Linked DNA regions of Alligator mississippiensis. The protein of the gene in region 1 interacts with the protein of each later gene in a biochemical or structural test. Links are inferred from orthologs where the notes say so. Each region holds a gene or a part of one and is shown on either strand. Other genes may lie near its edges.

Evidence for each region. The genes of interacting proteins can lie anywhere in the genome.
Region 2: the proteins of MYH9 (region 1) and S100P interact in a biophysical measurement, tested with the Homo sapiens proteins (2 studies listed by IntAct). The link is inferred for Alligator mississippiensis from reciprocal best matches to the Homo sapiens genes MYH9 and S100P.

What each region holds. Positions count from the first base shown.
Region 1 is NC_081827.1:100,990,261-101,000,487, reverse strand, and holds the start of MYH9 (myosin-9), read right to left. Parts: upstream 3,852-10,227; 5' UTR 3,741-3,851; intron 1-3,740. UniProt on the Homo sapiens protein: Cellular myosin that appears to play a role in cytokinesis, cell shape, and specialized functions such as secretion and capping. Required for cortical actin clearance prior to oocyte exocytosis. Promotes cell motility in conjunction with S100A4.
Region 2 is NC_081825.1:26,257,974-26,268,547, forward strand, and holds the start of S100P (protein S100-P), read right to left. Parts: upstream 4,561-10,574; 5' UTR 4,457-4,560; coding exon 4,319-4,456; intron 1-4,318.

The sequences.
Region 1 (10,227 bases):
AAGCGAGCCACTTTTGAGGAGGTTGAAGCCCTTGAAATTAACTTAAACTGTTCGTGAGCTTGTCTGTTTTCTGATAACCTGAAGCTGCCTTGCATAAATGTTACTTCTTCATTCTAATAAATCCTAGATTAACCATAAGAGTGCCTGTACCTCCAACGGGTCCATTGTCTGATCTCACCCTGTTAAGGGCAGAGATTCCTCGGTGACATAACCCTGAACAAGATGAAGAGGGGGAAGGGATTAACTAGGCTCCCAGTACCCAAAAGTCCAACATAATTTGTTGGAGTCAGAAGCGCACAGATTAGATGCAGAAGGATCAAGAGAAAGTACCCTCACTTCTTTCTCTTCTAGCTATTTTTGGTACTTCCAGTCATGAAGCAGACACCTCCTCTAGCTTACATTTCAGTCTACTGTAGACCCTATGGCAGCTTCAAATCTCAATTTTTTTCCAACCACAAAACGTAGATGTGCTTTGTGGGTACAGCTCAGAAGAGAACTAGCCCGTGAGCTGCTAGCGTGAAGTGTTTCCAGCCAAACCAATAAGGTGAGTGCTTCATGCATTTAGGCTGCTCGTTGCAGCGTTCATAGTAGGCCCCAGCAGTCAGATGCCAAGTATTTGCATTATCCACTACGCCTGACTGCTCTGAACAGATTTGAACACCTGCAGCTTCCGACTACGCTGAGCACATTAGACACACTTTCAACCCCAGACAAATACTAGAGCTGCCACCTGTCTCAGAGTTTGAGCACTAAACAGTCAGCCACTGGCTTTTTTTTTTTTTTTTTTTAAATAAATAACACCAGCCAAACTAACTCTTAAGATGGCACATAGATGACTCTACTGTCTGAAATATGGAGCCCTCCCCAAAACAACACTGTGGACAAATAATTTCTTGGCCTTTTCATTAGTTAAATAATGCTGCTTTATAATTTAAGTTTAGGTACAACACTGCATTCTCTTCCACTCATTTGAGGATAGGCAATCAGTGCAATTTCTGACTGTTCCTCCCTCTTGTCCTAAGGAATAAAAGTGTTAAACTGGAAAGGATCTAGGCTTTTTTAGAGGATTGACTCGAGACAGGAAGTGAGCAAAAGATTACTCCTACTGACAAGCTATACAACACTGCTGTAATAAGCAGCAGTCAGATCCTCTGAAGCAAGAGAAAAAAATCATCAGTCATCCTATTTATAATGAATAGGTGTGTGTTGTGTGGCCAGGCAAATTTAAGCATGACTCCTCTTCTCTAGAAAACTTCAATATCATCATCTCCTCGCAAGATATCAAGGAAGATAATATGCTACACAAAAAACAGAACTTTGTACTGGCCATGCCCAGTCTGAAGGGTACAGACATTTCATAGATGTTAATTTGGCATCTCTACTCAGTAGAGATTTGCTAATCTACACCTGCCTTCACAGAAGTACTGAAAGTTTTAACCAAGTCCATCCTACGACAGAAGAAAGTTTTCTGTGTGTAGTGCCAACCTTCGACTATGCACAGCATTACTTGATGGATGACTTCAAGCAGGCATCAGGGACAGACATACAATTACAGACAGCTTCAGGAGATGAGGAACTTGATAGAATGACAAGCAAATTGTACTGCCACCTCCAAAACAATTTATAGACAGTTTCATGTGGCAGAACAACAGACAGTACCCTATGCCTACTAGGGCTCTCAGTTATCCTGAAATTCAAAGCTCTTAAATACTAAAAGAGCCCCATTCACCTGTACTCATTAGCTCCTTCTCCTCCACCCAAAGGTGCCTTTAAGCACCCCACTTGGCAGAAGCATTTATCTCATGTTATCCATATACTAGATTCAAGTGCTACTGCTCCAGACAGGGAGGGTAAGTCAATACAGGTCTGCACCAAGGGTTACAGCTTTCACTAGCACGATCCAGATAAGTGAACTTAGTCACCAGGTAGCTTGTGACTAAGTCAGAAAGCATCTTTATAGAGCCAGCAACTGTTTACCTTGCTGTTCCCTTTGTCACTACCTATACTTAGGAGAAAATGTATTTAAAGAGACAAATAGTGCTCACGAGGCATGTTTCAAGTTAACAATTACAGCTCACTAAGCCCCACACCTTTAAGCAAATGAGCCTGTATGTTTTGCCACAGAAGGGCAGGGGCATCATGACCTGTGGGCTTGGCCCTTTTCAGTGATAAGAGGTTCAGCTTTCCAGCACAAATCATGCGTTACTGCATGCAATGACTTCAACAAGCTGTTCGGGTACAGGGCTGCTCTGGAAAGAGCCTAGGCTCTGCCCCCCACTACCTCTGATGAGGCACAGCTCAGGAAGTTAGGACAAGGGGAAGAAAAGCTCGAGGAGAAGGAAAGCCGTGCAGATAAAGCACAAAGTTCATTCGGCAAGGGAAGACATACCAAGAAAAGCAGAGCTCAGCAGCCACCGGGACAGCTGCCTCTGGACCAACATATCAAAACTGCAGTGCGTTATACAGAATGTGGCACTGCTTTAAGCGTGGTATCTTTTACTGGACTAACTAATGTCGCTGGGATACAGTTATAGACAAGCTTTCAAACGCAAGACTTTCTTCCTCGGGTGACCCAAGGAAAAGTGTCTTGCATTCAAAAGCTTATCTAACTCTTGGCTAACAGGTGACTCATCTAACTCCCATCTAACAAATGACCTGATGAAAAATGTCTTGCATTCAAAAGCTTGAATATCTCTATCTCAGCTACATAAGTTGGTCCAATTAAAAAATAAAATAAAATAAAATAAAATAAAAATCACCCAATGAAACCTTCACCTCTTGCCTAAATACTGGACCATCACGGCTACAACATCCCTCTTACACTCTCATTCAAGACGTGTCCAGGCAGATGAGGAGAACCCCCCATTAACGACATGCTGGGTACAAATCCACCACCCACTGGGGCTGGGAAGTTCCCCAACTTTTTTCTCCTCCCGGAGGACAGGCTGGTAACAAGGCTGTGAGAAGCTAGACTCCTCTTGCATCTGCTGGAGCAGCAGAGGTGGATGAAAGCCCAGGGATCTGCCAGATTTTGTACTGCAAGCTTCATCTTGCCCCGTCACTCCCTTCCCTCCTCCCGGCTCGCTCTACCTCTTTCCTGGCTCGACTGTACAGAACAAACCGAATGAGGAAGTCAAGATCTGAGGGCGGAAGCCAAGCCCATAGCAATGTCTGCTGCAGAATTGTTGGCCTGTGACTCAGGCTGGAACCCTGACAGCTGCCAAACGGGCCTTTTTTTCACCCCCTCTCTCCCTTAACCCCCCCCCCAATTACTTCCAAGAAGAGGGGCAACAGGCAAGGATGGGGCAGGGGGAAGGGACCAGCAGCTCCTTTGCACCAATAGCTGGACGCCTTCAAAGCAAGGGGGCTCCATCACATGGGCAGCTGCCCTCTCCCTCCTCCCCTGGTCCTGGGAGCCCAGTCCAGCTGCAGCCTGCTTGGCTATGGAGGACACAAGGAGGAGCAGCCCCTGGATGCACTTCAAGTGGAAAAAAAAAGGAGATCACAAGGAGGGATCACAGCGCCTAGGGATGCACCCCCAAGGAAGCCTGCTCTGGGCCCTGCACACAGAGGAGGGCAGAGGGCACCAGGCAGCACCAGCATGGCCCTGGGGGAAATCAATGGGCTCCCGCCCGCCTCAACCGCAGCCCGGCACTGCTGGCGCCAACCATAAAAATCAATAAAAGGATTCGCGTGTTTCCGGGGCCCGCCCGCGCCGCGCCGCGCCGCCCGGGGGTCACCTGAGTCCGGCGATCGGCAGGGGAAAGCCGCGGCGGCGGCGGCTGCTTCTGGCCAGGAAGGGACTCGTTCTCGGCGTCCGCCTGCCTGCCTCGCACACACCGGCACTGCGAGGTTTCAAGCCGGGTGGAGCCGCCGCGGCCCGAGGAACACGCCCCGCCCATTGCTCCCGCGACAGCCAATGAGAGCGCCCGCTGTCCCCTTCCGCAGCCAATCAGGCCAGGCAGGGCGAGGCACTCGCTTTTTGTAACCCGCCCAACCCCGGTTTGGCCTGGCCCCGCCCCTTTCCCCTCGCAGATTAACAGGCAGAGCAGCCAATGGGGAGCGGAGAACCTAGCAGGGGCAGTTCCGGGCGGGGGGGAAGAGGCAGCAAGTGCGCCCTGCCCCACAATGCCCCGCGCGGGCCCTAGTCTGCCACAGTTCCCTGCGCTGCGCGGGGGCTCCTCCCCCAGCCCCAGGGGCCAGGACGGGGTGCAGGCTCCTGCCCTGGCGCTTCGCCTTGGGCAGCCCCACGCCCAGCGCCTTGCAAGTACCCCGAGTCCTATGAAATACGAACTTTCATTTCTACCCAGGAGAACTTTTACACTCTTTCCTCCCATGCCTGATGAAGGGTGTTTGTGCCCGAAAGCTTGCAATTAAAGAATTTTTTTTGCAAAAATCTTGTTGGTCTAATAAAAGATATCACCTCTGTCCACAAGCCTTGGTTAGGCAGCATCTAATTCACCAGCTCTGTCCATCTCAGCTGGGAGGTTTCATAGTCATAGAAAATGAGGGTTAGCAGGGACCTCTGGGGGCATCTAGTCCAACCCCCTGCTCCAAGCAGGACCAGCCCCAACTAGATCATCCCAGCCAAGGCTTTGTCTAGCTGGGTCTTGAAAACCTCCAAGGATGGAGAGAATCTACAACCTCTCTGGTTAATGGGGGTTTTACTTCCTTCCTAATGATAAAATTCTTCCCAATATCTAACCTAAATTTCCTTTGCTGCAACTTGAGACCATTGCTCCTTGGTCTGTCACCTGCCACCACTGAAAACATTGAACCCCGCTTCAGGTAGTTGAAGGCTGTTATTAAGTCCTCTCTGTCTTCTCTTCTCTAGACTTAAATAAATCCAGTTCCCTCAGTCTTTCCTCATAACTCATGTCCCCCAAGCCACTCACCATTTTTGTTGCCCTCCATTGGCCTCTCTCCAATTTGTCCACATTTGCAGCCTCCCGTGCATTTTGCAGCACTGGGTCCATTCCCAGTCCTGTGTGGAGCTTGCCAAATCATGCATCCAAAAAAAGGGAGGGAAAGCAGCACCTGATATGTCTCACAAGAGCCATCTTTCTGCACAATGAACAAGCAGGAAAGGGCATGTTTTCTTGGCTTTGCAACTTTCTTTTCCGAAGCAACAATGTTTGAAAACGGCAAAGGCAGCAAACACAAGACACCAGGCATGTAGATGGATGAAAGTGAAACGAAGCAGTCAGCATCTCCTGCGTCCATGCACAAAACACAAGCAACAACCATCTTGACTTGCCTGTGCTTGGAGGGCTGGGATATGGGAGAGAGGAGAGGAAACGTGATATGGTAACTAAGATGAGAACCAAGAAAGGATGGTGAAGCATTCCTGAAGAGGGTACTACAGAAGCCTAGGTACTTAAGATTTAATTTTTCGGGTTAGTATAATGTGTAAGTGTCTGGCACGTGTGACGTGACATAACAGATGCAAAAATAAAGAGGTCCCTTTCACTTAGTAAGTAACTCAAATGTTAAGTCGGCAGATTTGTAGGAACAGACAACGAAAAGAGTCCAGAGCTGGAGGCAATGTCAAAGGTACCAACAGAAAAGACAAAGAAGAAAGTCTTCAACTGAAAAAGGAATTAAGAGAGATGAAGAAGATACATTTGAGCAAGCATCTCTTGCCCAACTTCCATCCCAGAAAGATTGCTTTGGAGGAATTTGTAAACCAAGCTGCAAGTTTACACGGTCAAGACATGAAGGGTGGTGCGAGAGAAGTCCTGAAAGGCAGTGACAGATATGCACCGCTTAGTATCAGGGGTATATTACTGGTATTGTAAAAGATAGAGATGAATGAAAAGAATGTAAATAGTAATTCTAAGAGTGCTGAGAAATAAAATTTTGGGGGGGAGGAAGGGAGAGAAGAGGGGAAGTGCTCCATACAGGACATATCTTGATGTGGAAAAATGGTTACTTCCAGAGATAAAGAATTGCCAAGGAGGTTGGAGTGGAATCATGACAAGAAAGAACCAGGCACATCTGCATAACCAATGGCAGTGATGTTTCAAGAAGGAGAAAGGTTACAGATGCAGGACAGCTTCTTCTCAAATAGACTGCCTCCATCTTGACTGAGCAAATAGAGATTAGAGAGAGAGAAGTAGTTAATCAAGATTAAAACAAAGTTTTTGCAGAGTTGGAAAGTAGCAGATTTTAGAGAACTGGAGAAGGCAGACAAAGTTATTCACAATGGTAGCCATGTAGTCAGCAGAGGTGTGTTGTTACTATTATCAAACAGTAAGAAATTAAAGGATGACAAAAGGTAGTGCTTTAGGGACTGGATAATGCTACTAACAGCATCCCTCAAAGTCTTCTACCAATCTTATATTTTCATGTGCTGAACTGCACTTCCTAGGAATCAGGTTATGTCATTATTTTTCTTAGGTAATTGTTTATTTAGGAATCTGAGAACTTGATTCTCTTTCCATTACATGAAACAAAATCTCTTCATTGACTTCAGTGGGGAAGTATCAGAACTCAACTAGAAACCATCATTGCTGTAATTGTGCTCTCTTCCCTCCTGGAAAAATGTCTCCTCTCTTCTTAACTGGTCTCTAAAACTAAATGTTTCTATGTGTGAGCTAAAAGAAGCTATTTAAATTTGAAATGGTTGTTTTCTTTGCTTGGCTGATTGATAGCACCCTATGATGAAAGCCGGTAAGATTTCTGATTGTTGTACTACTGTACAGAGGCTTTTCTTGGTTTGGACCAGAAAATAATTCCCAGGATGGAGGAGGCATACCTAAGAAAGTGGGTATGATCAAATTGTTTCCCTGAGGCCCTGTTTCAAAAGATCATAACATTTCTATTCAATCCCTCCAACCAATTCCAGTCACCTTGTACATGCTGGACACAGTATGTATGCCCCATTTGAAACAATTAATTTGCACTTGTCTTTATTTGCATTCCAAGTCATTACCTCTTCCATTAGCTGGCACCCAAAAGCACCCTTTTCTCCAGATAGTCACCATCCATGATTGTGGAATTCTCCAGGAAAACTTCCCTTCAGATGAGCATCCAGAATTTTATAACATTTCCTGTCCAATTACTTGGCTTCTAAGACACCTGCACCGGGATGATTGCCAAAAAGCAATCTCCTCCCACCCATGTCCATATCCAGGTCTCGCAAAGTGCATGCTGTACATTTTGAAATGCAGTCATATCATATATACAAGATTTCCTGCCTAATATAGTGAACATAATCTAATCTTCCATACTATGAACTGTCAGGAGACATTATAGGCTTACTTCTTATTCTATTGGAGTATTGCTTTGTAGAGAAAATAGAAATACTCTTCCACCTTCATCCAAAATGAAGTGCCAACTCAGAGAAAAAAAAGTTACACTTTGCAAGATTAATTTTGATTTACATTTACTTGCTGACAGGTCTGGCTCTAGAGATGCAGTGTTCTGGAAAAGTGTTCTATGCAGTTACCAAGCAGTTCCACTGGATCTGTGGAAGTCTATGACTGTGCTCTGGATCAGTCAGTACTCATATATCAGAGATTTTCAATCTTTTTAGACTTGAGGCACCCCTTGGAAGATGCCAGCTCTTAGTTTTCACTTCTTTTTTTTTGACTACAGAAAAATAATACAGCAGTTTTCTGTTGCAAAGAACTCAGAAAAACCACAACTATGAATTTCTATGTGAAATCCCTGGATTTATTGTGTGAATCATATTTATAAACCAAATATCGCTAACATTGCATGGCACCCTGCAATATCCTTGAAAAGATCTTTAGGCACCCCAAGTTGCTGTGGCATCCTAGCTGAAAAAACACTAGTATATATAATGAATCAAGCATGCTCTGTACATATATTGTAGTAGGCAAGATATCTTGATTGATTTAATGTGCAGGGCCAGGCATGTAATTTGCTGGCTCAGATAAGTTAAACATATCTTCCTCCCCAAGCCTCCATATGCTGAATTAACTCAATTTCTGTTGCCCATGTTTTAAGAACCCTGGGAAGAAGCAGGAGGATTTAATTTCCAAGCCTGTCTCCAACAACTACAATTATTTGAAATCATAAAACTTCTTTCCTAGTACTTTGCAAATGGGATTTTTGTTGTACATTTTGCAAAATACATTTGTATTTCTAGCAAAGAAATTATAGAATGAAAAGAGGAAGGTTGCAAGATGTTTACCTCACAGGGGAAGGTATATTGCCAAACTAACCACACAGTGACTGTTCAGAAACCACATGTGCAAAAGATCTGCTGACTGTCACAACACAGTAGTGGTAAGAAACCTTAACTCTGTTTCTGAAATGGGCTGAACAAAGGACTGGAGCTGGAAACATGGAAGAGTTGCACTGAACTTCTAAGAATGCAGCTCTCTCCTAGCTCTAATTCATAAAGAGAATTTATAAATATATAAGTGCTGGTAACTGTTAAGATGGGGTAGAGTTTAAGTTCATAAATCATGCCAAAAGATGACAGCATTATGAGGAGACACATGGGAAAATGAAACAATATGCATGATGTATGTCTGCATTTACTCTCTCCCTCCAAATAATAGCTGTTTGGTACCAAGACTAATTGTGAAGTAGCCACCACTGTTAGAAGCAAATAACTCCCCTTTCCCTTGTGTACACATACCTTTCTACCCCTCTGCAGAAACAAGATTACAACCCGTGATTGCTCTCAGACTTTCCCTCTAGCTTTCTCCTTCAGCCTTTTGGCTAGGGGCAAGCAAGAATAGGGGTCATCAGAACTCCAAGGCCTCTGGGCTTAGCACATAGGATGCCTGCCATGGATTTGGGAGTATCTGAAGCCCCAGACTGAGGAGTTCTGGAGGTAGGATACTTGCTGGTAGTAGCACCACACAGACTTGAATGATTGAGCTGTGCACAGTCGATAGAATTTGGGACCGATCTGGCCGATTGGCCCAAGACACAACATTTCAAAAAGTGATTACAATCCAAACATTGTCATAATTGGGCAAGGAGAACTACAACATTAAAAGCCAGGGAAATTAAAAATAGGTCAGTGCTATTTTCATAGTTGAGAGTTTAGAGCTGTAGGTGCCGCAGGCTTGACTTCTTGTCACTTGAATCTGGAGAGGGAGGTCAGAAATAGTCTATGTTATTTGAAAGTTATAGCTTGCCTTGGTGTCACTCTCCTGGGGCTGATGGGAATATACCTAGTATGTTATTGCTTGAATCAGGAATATTTACTGTAAAAAGACACCTACCCCAAGCCAGTCTATGATATACACAGTATATACATAGAAAAAACCAAAACCACTATCAAACATGCTGCTGTCCACCTGCTCTGTTCTCAACTCCTATACCATCACTGTGCTTTCAGCTTCTGCTTTAACAAAGGACATAAGGGCACTGGGTGCTACCTATCTCAACAACTTGGTGATGATCTGCAGGAGGAAAAAAAAAGGCATCTAACATCTCTTCTTTTAGTCCAAGGGATGGAATTGAAGGGATCCCTCGGACTAAAAGCTCTGTTCTTACCCAGCTTGTCTGAAGTGCCAGGAGCACCATAATGTTCCTTAGCAGAATGATACAAGTACTTACATTGTAAAAACTGCTACTTTGGAGGACCAAGTACCCTGACAAAACATGGAATTGTTTTCTTAAGGAAAAAAAATAAAGCATCTTGAGGAAGGCTACATTTTTACTTCAAGCAGAGGACTGGTCTGTCTGGCAACGTGAACTCTGTTCTTGGCATTTATGATACCCTCAACTCTGTGATGAGATTATGGCTGCATAACGTACAGTTGTGGAAATCACTGGTCCAAAATGCTAGCAAGAATGTCTAAGGGCACTGTCACAATCTCATCTGCCATATAGGTTTTGAATATATCCATCATTGTAATCTCTAACTGCAAAAGCAATGGGAATCAATGCTTTGTTTTACAGCAGTTTGTGACCCCCTCCCTCAACCCCACAACACTTTCCCAGCTCCTCTTGCCCCGTTTTTCTTCCGGCTCATCAATTTCTACCTGGTTTTCAATTTCTACCTGGCATGGCTAACTGCAAACTTGCCATCCCATGCTGTTTAAGGAAACATGCTAGCAATGATAGTGACTGTGACTGAAAGACTAGATCTGGGCCCTAAGGTATCTGTCTTTGTTTTGTGCACCCAAAACATCCCTAGAACATGTCCTTTGGCCTATAGACAAGAGAACTGCTCTTTTCTGGAAAGAGCAACCTGCACTCTCCAAGCAAAATCTATTGCGCTTCTTTTTTATTTTT
Region 2 (10,574 bases), on another chromosome or scaffold:
CTGATTCATAGAATCAGCAATTGGGCCATAGACACAGCTTTAAATATTTTTTTCTACATACCTCGAGGTACCAGACGCAGATCATGAACGCGTGATGGTGGGGCAGATGCGTCCCACACGAGGGCAGGGCGGGGCGGGGCGGGGTGGGGGGGTAGGGGCCCGTGTGCTTGGCAGTGAAGCCAGAAGTGGATCAGAAGTACTTCTGGTCCACTTGCAGGTCCACTGCTAAGCATGTGGTGGGGATCCCCCCCGTACCTTTCTGGCTCAGCAATTGGCTATGGGGGGGACCCCAGGTGCCCCCCCAGTCCCAGGAGGCACCAGACACTGAGCTGGGGAGACGTGGGGGAGGGGCCCCCGCATGCTCTCTGGCAGACCTGGGAGTGGACTGGAAGTGCTTCTGGTCCACTTCTGGGTCTGCTGCCGAGCACACTGAGACTCTCCCCTCCAGTGCTCCTGTGGGACACTCAATCTGCCCCACCATCTTGGTATTCATGAGCCACCTCGTACTTTGAGGTATGTAGAAAAAAACATTTAAAGCTGCGTCTATGTCCAAATTATCGAATCTTTTTTACTCTAAATCAATTTGGAGGGTTCTGATTCAATTCAGAAAGATTAAAGGGTCTCCTTATTTGATTTGAAATTGGAGATTCAGCCACCAAATTGGGCCGAATCTCCACCGAATCGAATCGGTGACCGAAGCTTCGTGCAGCCCTAGCTTACAGCATGTTCTGCTAAGCTTTGTTACTTGAGCAATGTATATGCTAGCGCAAGACTAACTTCATCAGGAGAGTGGTGTATCTTTTTGAAGAAAGAATAGTATTAGAAAACCACATTTTCCAACATATTGAAGTCTGCAGCAAAATTCCCACTGGCTTCCGCTAAGGTAATTTTTTTTCTGTATTGCAAAGGTTTTTGAGCCAAATCTTTCCTTTAAATGTATTTGTTTAGTCTAAATGCATGCTGTATGCCTGAAGATGCATAAACACTATTTACTTTAAAAAAAATGTGTAATGATCAAATTTGCAAAATGCTAAAGGAATTTAATTCAGTTGGGGAAATGCAATCTGTCCCTCCCAGAAAGGTCCATAATATAATACACAGGCTGGTAGTTCTATAGACAAGCTCTCTTGGACTAACTGTAGGAACAAAGTGAGGTACATTTACTGAGAATGAGCTGTCTACAGCCTCCCCCTGTGAACATGCTGGGATTGCTCTCTCAGGCATTCCAGCTAAACCTGGTGCCGTGAATAGGTTGGTTGGTGTACAGAAGCTGTGGTTGCACATGACAGCTAACTGTAAAGCTAACTGAATTATGGGATGAAAAACAGTTCATTAGCAATGCCCCTTTCCCCCCAACCTTTCATAAAGCAAATTGATGAACCACAAATTACTTGCAATTTTCATCTGCAGCCTAAAATTAAGCACAAGAGAATCCAGAAAAATTGACACTGATAAAATGTTCAGCTGCAAATTAAAAAAAAAAAAAAGCTTATAGAGGCCTTTCTTGATTCTAGGTTTTAACTAACTCTAATGCTCTTATTGCAGTTTTCAAAATAAACAGAGGATGGCAGTAGAGCATAAAATATAATTAACTGAAAATTTTTTTTGTAGCCTAACAAAAGTCTGATTTTATAGTTTTATGAAGTTATGTAAGTATCTTGGAGTTTTACTGTGAACTGAAAATATGTACCAGCATAATGGAAATCAGAGGTGCTTGTGACATCATGCTTTAATTAGTTAAATTGCAATTATTTTATTTTATACAATCTTCCATTTAAAAAACTAGAAGGATTAAAGTATAAGCCAAGACATGCCAAAATCATCAAGCATGTAGGTATATGGCTAGACCCCATTTAACAATGTCTGATGAATATTGATCCCTTCAAAGTTTGCAAATTATTTGCAAAGAAATGTTTCCATTTTTATGAATTTGGAAATCTGAAATTATTCCATGAATTGCTTATGAACCAGTTTCTGGATTACTTATGGACGTTGATGTTGGTGTTAATTTCAGTGTGCTCTCTTAATAATGTACTTTTGTTACTTATATCCTATGCTGCTTTTTTTCTGCTCTGCAATTGATTGATTCACAAAGACCTTTCAAGATGGCGGTCAGCCAGCACAGGTGTGAATATTGGTGAAAATGTATATTTGCATGAATATTTAGAGCACCCTATTTCTGAGAACATTCTTGTAAACAAAAATGTACTCATAAATATTAAGAAACCCCAAATAATGGGATTTTAATTATAACTTATTTTCTAGTGATAATATGTGTCTGTCAAATGAGTATTTGCAAATGCTTTCCCCGCCCCTTGTATTTTACCCAGTTCTGCATGTGAACATGTGGAGTTAATCTCATTGGCTTACAGGAAAGGACTTTTCTTCTTGCTTTGGAAGTTATTTTAACTTCAGTCCTGAATGTAATGATTAGTCACTTCTTAGGGCCTTGTTAGATGGTAACTTTGGGCAACTCATGGAGCTCTTAACCCCTAGGTTATCAACACCTGAAAGTGGCTTAAAGTATTTGTTATGCGGTTCAAAGTTATGCCACTTCAGGGCAAGATTATCTCTGATTCTGGCAACCCAGCTCCTGTTCCATTAAGCTGTGGCCACTGCTCACAGATGCATCGATCAAGTTGAAGTTCTCCAGTATCCCAGGATGCAGTGGTGCCCCCCGCTTCTGTCTGTGAGCTCTCACACCCCCAGCTATTCTATTTCCCCCAGTCTTCAGCCCCCTGGTCCAGCAACAGTGACCAAGGGCTCCTTTCTCCACTAGCACTGAGCCCATCTGGGTGGGCACCCTGCCCTGCTGCCCCACCAAGCCTTGGGGAACAGAGAGCATAGCCAGCCCCAGAGAGCCCCAGACTGGGCCAGCCTCCCATAACCCCTGAGCTCCAGCAGTGCCCTGCTCCATGCACCCAATGCAGTGCAGTGAGAGCTGGCAGTGACTGCTGTGGAGTGGGGGGCAGCCTGCTGTCATGGGGCAGCTGCAGAGCTCTGCTACTGCCTGTTTAGAATACATCAAATGCACAGGTCTTGGTGCTCTAATTAGATGATTACTTATGGACAGGTTTTGTACATTCAATGTCACAAGGGTGGACAACAGAAGCCACTTACTAACATTTAATCCTAGATATCTACTTGGGTGGATCCAGGATCACGGTGAGGGGTATGTGGCCACATGTCCTTTGGCTGTGTGGCACGTGCTGCGAGCTCTTTGAGCTCACCAGCAGATTGGCATGGGCTCTGGCTGAATCCCCTGCTCTTGCATGGTTCTGGAGTCCAATGGATTGATGCTGCCATGACTGCCCTCCCTTCTGATTGGTTCCCAGCCCCTTCTAGCCCCTATTTGAATTCAGCAACAGGGGAAAAGAAGGGAGCAACAAAAGTGACACACACCCCCTGGGCTCTGGAGCTGCATAACAGCAGGAGTTCCAGCCAGAGCTGACAAATCAGTGGATGAACTCAGAGCTTATGCTAGATGTAGAGTTCCAGCAAGAGCTACGCTGATGTGCCACTGAATTCAGAGAGCTCACTGTATATGCACCACAGAGCCAAAAGCGTCCCCTTGGATCTACTCCAGACATTTGCAGTTATGGGAAAGATTCTGCATCTACAGAAATGCAGACTCTTTAATACAGCAGCAAGGTATGTAAGAGCAGAATTTGTGGATTTGTACAGAGGCAGAGACAACTATAAAGTATAACCATTGAAAAGCACCTCCTGATAATACAATGCTCATATTCTATGAAACATTCTTTAGTTATTTAGTTTCTTTTAATTATTACTGTATTAAAATCATTTGCTAAACAGAATTTTCTAAGTTCATCTACTGCTGCTGTTCTTTATATAATTTTTTTGTGTACATGCTCAGATACCACAGTTATAAGTCTGGTATAAATCGCTTTATGGAAAGATTCCCCATTTGTTTGCTTCATCCTCGATTGCTAACAGCAGAATCCCTTCACAGCAGTTAACAGTAGCATCATATTGAGATTACAAATTCTGCTGCGGAGTAAACAGCAGGAGCAGATGACTTCTGAAGTATTCTATATCACTGCCACTGCTCTGATCACTAGAAAAATAGATGATAGTACTGATAAATGGGAATGATATTGTAGTTCAGTGCTGTGATGGGTCTTCCTTTTAAAAGCCACCTTGTCCACATGATGATCTAAAAGGTACCTACTTGTTTTCCTACAACACCAATGATTTCAGGACATAGCCCAGAACACAAAGCACTGGGAGTGTTTCTCTTTACACAGGAAAAGCTTTCAGTTTGTCATACAGAAATTATACTAAAATATCATCTTACCTCCAAGAAGTTAGGGAGCTCTTTTTCCAGGAGAGTCTTCAGTTCTGCTTTAGTAAGGGTTAGCTTATTGCCTTCAGTTGCTGCATACCTGTCAAAGACAGCAATGATCATTCCCATTGCAGTTTCCAGTTTGGACATCTTTGCTCACTTTTATTTTCCTGCTAGGTGTGAATAGTCTCTGATTCTCTTTTAGAAAATAGAACCTGATCAGGTTCAGGGCTCCTTTATAACACTCTCATATTTCCTTGTTGCATATGGTAGTGAGAGCCAGTTATCAGTTAGCAAATATCCATATCTAAAGTACCTTTTTTTACCATCTGCATGTAGGCTGAAATCAAATTCCTTTGTAATGACATTCTATTTAAAGTCCAAGCTTTATCATATGGTAGAGGTAGCACAGTGATTGTGCATTGCCAGAAACCAGTCCCTCCTTTAAGATACACAGTGTGAGTAAGAAGCTTCAATCCACTCTGTAAATGGTTAACAGCCCAATTTAAAAAGAGTGCACATTGATTCACCAGGGCAAAAACAGGAGCAAATTAATACTCTCCTCATTTCCATGACTGGGAATTGGTATCTTTTCCAGATCAGAGCTCTGTTGAGTGCAAGGCCCTGCATGGCAGCTTACACCGGCTAATATAAACTCTCACATCCCGTGCGATGGATAAATTTGTTCTCCAGTTGGATGGAGCACTGGGTGGACATTTGGGCACTTGATCAATGCTCAGATTCATCTTTGAATGTAATGAAATATCTTATTGTTGACCCTAGAATAGCTCCAGAAGAGGTTCAACCCTGCAGCATTAGTGTTTGTGTTAAACCAAACTCTGGATCAAGCTTGGCTTTAATTTGTGGCTGCTGGTCCACAGCTTAAAAACTGTTCAGTGAGTTTGGCTCTAGTGACTTTTTCTCAAGAATATCTACTGACTGCATCATGGGCCTTGTTAGACCTTGCACTGTAAGCCGAACAAATGTTAATCAGCTTAGTAGAGCAATCGCACAGCAAGTCAAAAAACCTGCTCTGACTGCCCTTCACCTGCATGTTGCCCCTAGGATTCCTTTTACCAGAGACCCCCAAAGATTGGCAAAGCCCCATGTCTGATTTGGTACCAAGTGAACTTTTAATACTAACCCCTAGGCTTATTACAAGTATTCTTCCATGCAAGATGACCTGGCAAGCAGTTCCTTCAGGCATTATAGCAGCGACCTTTGGTGGTACCGGCCTCAGATCCTGATCCCTTGCTGGGTGTGTGGGATGTTAGTTTCTGGATTCCTCATTGTTCAAACAAGAAGTCCAAGGTTGTTCCTGTCTCCCCAACGCGGCAACACAGCACACACACGTGTGTTCCTTTGTTTGTCCATCACTTCTATAACTTCTCCATTCCCAAATTGCCCAATGCTCTGGCTCTGTGCCATGCATTCCTTACGTGGTGCACCGATCCCCTGGCACTGTGTCAACTGTATTCCTTCTGGGGAAACTGCTGTCCTTTGCTCACCTAGTGCCCAGCACTCACTTTTCCCAGTGCTTAAAGGCACTCTGTTCAAGTTTGTTGCTTAGTTCTGGGAAGGCCTGGATTATGGCTAAAAGTCTTTACATAACTCAGTTTGCCCACTACACTGCACAGCTGTGACTTCTCACTAGAGGCTTGGTGAGCAGGAGCAGGACCCAGCCTGGCAGAGACTGGGCCCACCACTATCTCAGTTTTAGTGAGACAGAGAAGCAATTTCCCTGATGCTCTCTGGTCTTGCTGAAATGGACGTGGTGGCTCCACACTGAGATCAGGGCTAGCAGGACTTAAGTCCAGACAGCTCTGTTCTCAGTGCAGAGACGCTGTGTCCGTTTCAGCAAGACCAGAGTGTTCCAGGGCTGCAACCCCGGAGCTCGCTTGCTCCGAGCCGGTCTGGGCAGCAGTGAGAGGCACTTCAGCTGCTGGGCACTCTGGGGGAAAAAAGGATCAGGCCCTGCAGCACTCAGAGTATTCTGGGATACTGAAGGACTTCAATTTGGGTGGAATAGCTACGGGAAGTGGCTATATGGTAATGGAACAGGAAAACAGCTTGGTGGATTGGAAATAATCCTGTCCTGGAATGGTGTAACTCTAAGCTGAATAATGAGTGCCTTAAGACATTTAAATGATGTTAACGTGCAGCCAGTCCAGGGGTTAAGAACTCCAGAAGCTGCCTACATTTACCATGTAACAAGGCCCAAAGTATAGGGATATTGCAGCTCAGGTGAGTACTGAAAACAGCCTTGCTGCATAGTTGAGGAGCCCAAAGGAAAGCAGAAGCAGGGTAAATTAGCAAAGCTTGCTGGGAGCTGTGTACTGCCATGGCTACTTCCAGTACCTGAGGTAGTTCATTTAAAGTGAACTCAGCTGTCTGTAGTGTAGCCATACAGAGGTTTCTTTGAGGGTACAAGATGGCTACAGCATTCAAGACGAGCACTGAAACCGATGGAGGCCAGGGGGAGGCTCTTGGAGGCGCTCTTGGGTGAGTTCTCCGGCTACAGACTCTCTATCAGATGCAATTAGGTTTTGATGTCTTCAGGGCAAGGTACAACTCTTTGTGCCTGAGCTTTGGCCTCAACATACAGCATCATTTATAAAACTTGTCAGATTGTTTTTAAATGAAAAGAATTGAAAAAATGTTATTAAAGAATTATTCCAGCAAAACCGACCACACAAAACCAAAACAAGTAAAGTTTCTTACTCTCTCATCTAGCTACACCTCAGCTCTCCTCAACCTGGCAGTATCTCCAGAATTCAGCCTTCCTGTTGATGCTGCCAGCCCTGCCTGCTGGCGTTATTGAACATCCAACTCCTGGGACCCAAAAGACAAAGCATAGCCCACAGCAAGCTTCCTACATTATTTCCAATCAGCCACTCCCCACGTCGCCTGCCAAAACCCCCCCAACTCAACAACAAACCAAAAAAACCTGCTTGTGGGTCAGGATTCTCTAAAAATTTCTGGTCTACCTAAGGTACTTGGAGCCACTGTGGCTAAAGGGCTGTTTTCCTCAGTTGCCTCTCTGTTGCAGAGTTGATTCCCCATTGCAATCAGACAACGTCTTGGGGTGCCCAACCCAATAATATTTCCTTCTGCTTGTGTCTGGGACTGGCAATTGTCTTGAAGTATGGATGCCTCATACTGAGTCCAAATGAAAAGATATACGTAGATAGCATAACATATTTTATATAGGGAAAGAAATGACAAATGAATATAGCTTAACATGGGCTTTCACAGATTCACAGAAATTTAGGGCTGGAAGGGACCTTGTGAGATCATCAGGTCCAGCCCCCCTGCTCTGGGCAGGAAAGACTGCTGAGCAGGAGACCACACATGCTATATTAGTACAGTAAAACATAAGAAAACATACATGACACACTGCAAACCACCAAACATAACAGGTTTCGTAAGAGTCATCGGCACTTCCTAAGGTCTACAGCCAGCTGTGTGCAAGCAACAGCCTCTTCTCTGTCCCACATAAAAGATCCTAAAGCAAGAAGAGAGAGTGTCATACTAAACACAAATGTCACTTGAAGTCATCTTGAAACCAGAACATAAGTTTCCTTCACGCATGTCCCCTCTTCTATTACTTTACATATTCTATATAACCGTTGGAACATGGTGGGGATGTATGTTTGATTGAGTCCAGCCAAGGGGCTGAGGCATTCATACTTGTCTTGAAGACAATTGCCAGTCGTAGACAGAAGCAGTTTATTCTTGCAACAGTAGTCACTAGAGGCCTGCTGTTATCTGTGCTAAGCAGATGAGAACTGTAATAAAGTCTGCCATTCTACATATAGATGTTTATTAAATCAGCCAAGCATGGTCAGAATGAAAAATAATTGGAGAATAAGAACCATGAGCTCCATCTGAGGGTACTGAAGGCACTGGCTGACGTCATTGCACAGCCACTGACGGGAATATTTGAACACTCATGGCACACAGGCCAGGTCCTGGAGGACTGGAAAAGGGCCAATGTGTTCCCCATTTTCAAGAAGGGGAGGAAGGAGGACCCAGGCAACTATAGGCCAGTCAGTCTCCCCTCCATCCTAGGCAAAGTCTTTGAAAAAATTATCAAGGCTCACATTTGCGAGAGCCCGGCAGGACAAATTATGCTGAGGGGAAACCAGCACGGGTTCGTAGCAGGTAGATCATGTCTGACTAATCTAGCCTCTTTTTATGACCAGGTTACCAAACACCTGGATGCAGGAGTAGGGGTTGATGTCGTATACTTAGACTTCAGGAAGGCCTTTGATACGGTATCCCACACCATACTGGTGAACAAGTTAAGAGGCTGTGACTTGGATGACTACACAGTCCAGTGGGTGGCAAATTGGCTAGAGGGTCGCACCCAGAGAGTCATAATGGATGGGTCGGTATTGACCTGGAAGGGTGTGGGCAGTGGGGTCCCGCAGGGCTCGGTCCTTGGACCGATACTCTTCAATATCTTCATCAGCGACTTGGACGAGGGAGTGAAGTGTACTCTGTCCAAGTTTGTGGATGACACAAAACTGTGGGGAGAAGTGGACACGCTGGAGGGCAGAGAACAACTACAAGCAGATCTGTACAGGTTGGACATATGGGCAGAAAACAACAGAATGCAGTTCAACAAAGAGAAATGCAAAGTGCTGCACCTAGGGAGGAAAAATGTCCAGCACACCTACAGCCTAGGGAATGACCTGCTGGGTGGCACGGAAGCGGAAAGGGATCTTGGAGTCCTAGTGGACTCCAAGATGAACATGAGTTGGCAGTGTGATGAAGCCATCAGAAAAGCTAATGGCACTTTATCGTGCATCAGCAGATGCATGACGAACAGATCCAAGGAGGTAATACTTCCCCTCTACTGGACGCTGGTCAGACCGCAGTTGGAATACTGCATGCAATTTTGGGCGCTGCACTTCAAAAGGGATGTGGATAACCTGGAGAGGGTCCAGAGAAGGGCCACTCGTATGGTTAAGGGCTTGCAGGCCAAGCCCTATGAGGAGAGACTAGGGCACCTGGACCTCTTCAGCCTCCGCAAGAGAAGGTTGAGAGGCGACCTTGTGGCTGCCTATAAGTTCATCATGGGGGCACAGAAGGGAATTGGTGAGGATTTATTCACCAAGGCGCCCCCAGGGGTTACAAGAAATAATGGCCACAAGCTAGCAGAGAGCAGATTTAGATTGGACATTAGGAAGAACTTCTTCACAGTTCGAGTGGCCAGGGTCTGGAACGGGCTCCCAAGGGAGGTGGTGCTCTCCCCTACCCTGGGGGTCTTCAAGAGGAGGTTAGATAGGCATCTAGCTGGGGTCATCTAGACCCAGCACTCTTTCCTGCCTATGCAGGTGGTCGGACGCGATGATCTATTGAGGTCCCTTCCGACCCTAACATCTATGAATCTATGAACCAGGGCCTGGGTCATATTTCTTGGAAATGACCATCATGCACAAAACTTCCCCAACTTCTGCTTCTCTGAGCTTGCCTTCTCTTATGTACAGAGATAGCATGCATGTTAAAACAAAAAGCATAACAAAACTACCCCACTAAACACACTTTTCCTTCTGGGGAGAACAGGAAAAACAGCCAGCATGTAACAATAATTAGCCATGTCACTTGATGCATTACTGAAAATATTTAACCACAATGATGATAAAGGCAGGAGAAGAACCTAAGAAGGGTACTCAACCCTTAGGCCAGATCCAGCCCATGAAGCTGTATCTTTTGGGCAGCAGGGCTTCCTAAGGATCAGGAAATTTGGCACTGGAAAGTGGTAGGAGTGTTAACTCTCCTGCTGCCAAATTTCTGGACCCATGGGGAGCCCTGCTGGCCAGAATGGGGAGGCGGGCAGCACATGGCCAGATTGGGGCAGCATGGGATCAGCCCCATGGCCCAATCCCATGCAGGATCTTGAGACTGACCCTGCACCGCTCATCTCCCCCCACCCCATACATACATACGTACATACATACATACATACATTATTTACACACACACACACACACACAGAGATATACACATACACACACACACTTATATACATATAGATACACACACACACACACACACACACACACATACATATATCTTGCCGACTTGATGGGCAATTGGTAGTTGAATCACAAAGCTTACTCTTTACTAGCACAAAGAAAAGTGACACCAATCCTTTTAGAAGTAATAATGGAGGTGGTTTTTGTGTTTTATTTGGAATTAACCACAGCACTTTGAATTGCCAGAAGCTGAAACGTCATCAAGATAGCGCCATTGGTTTTTC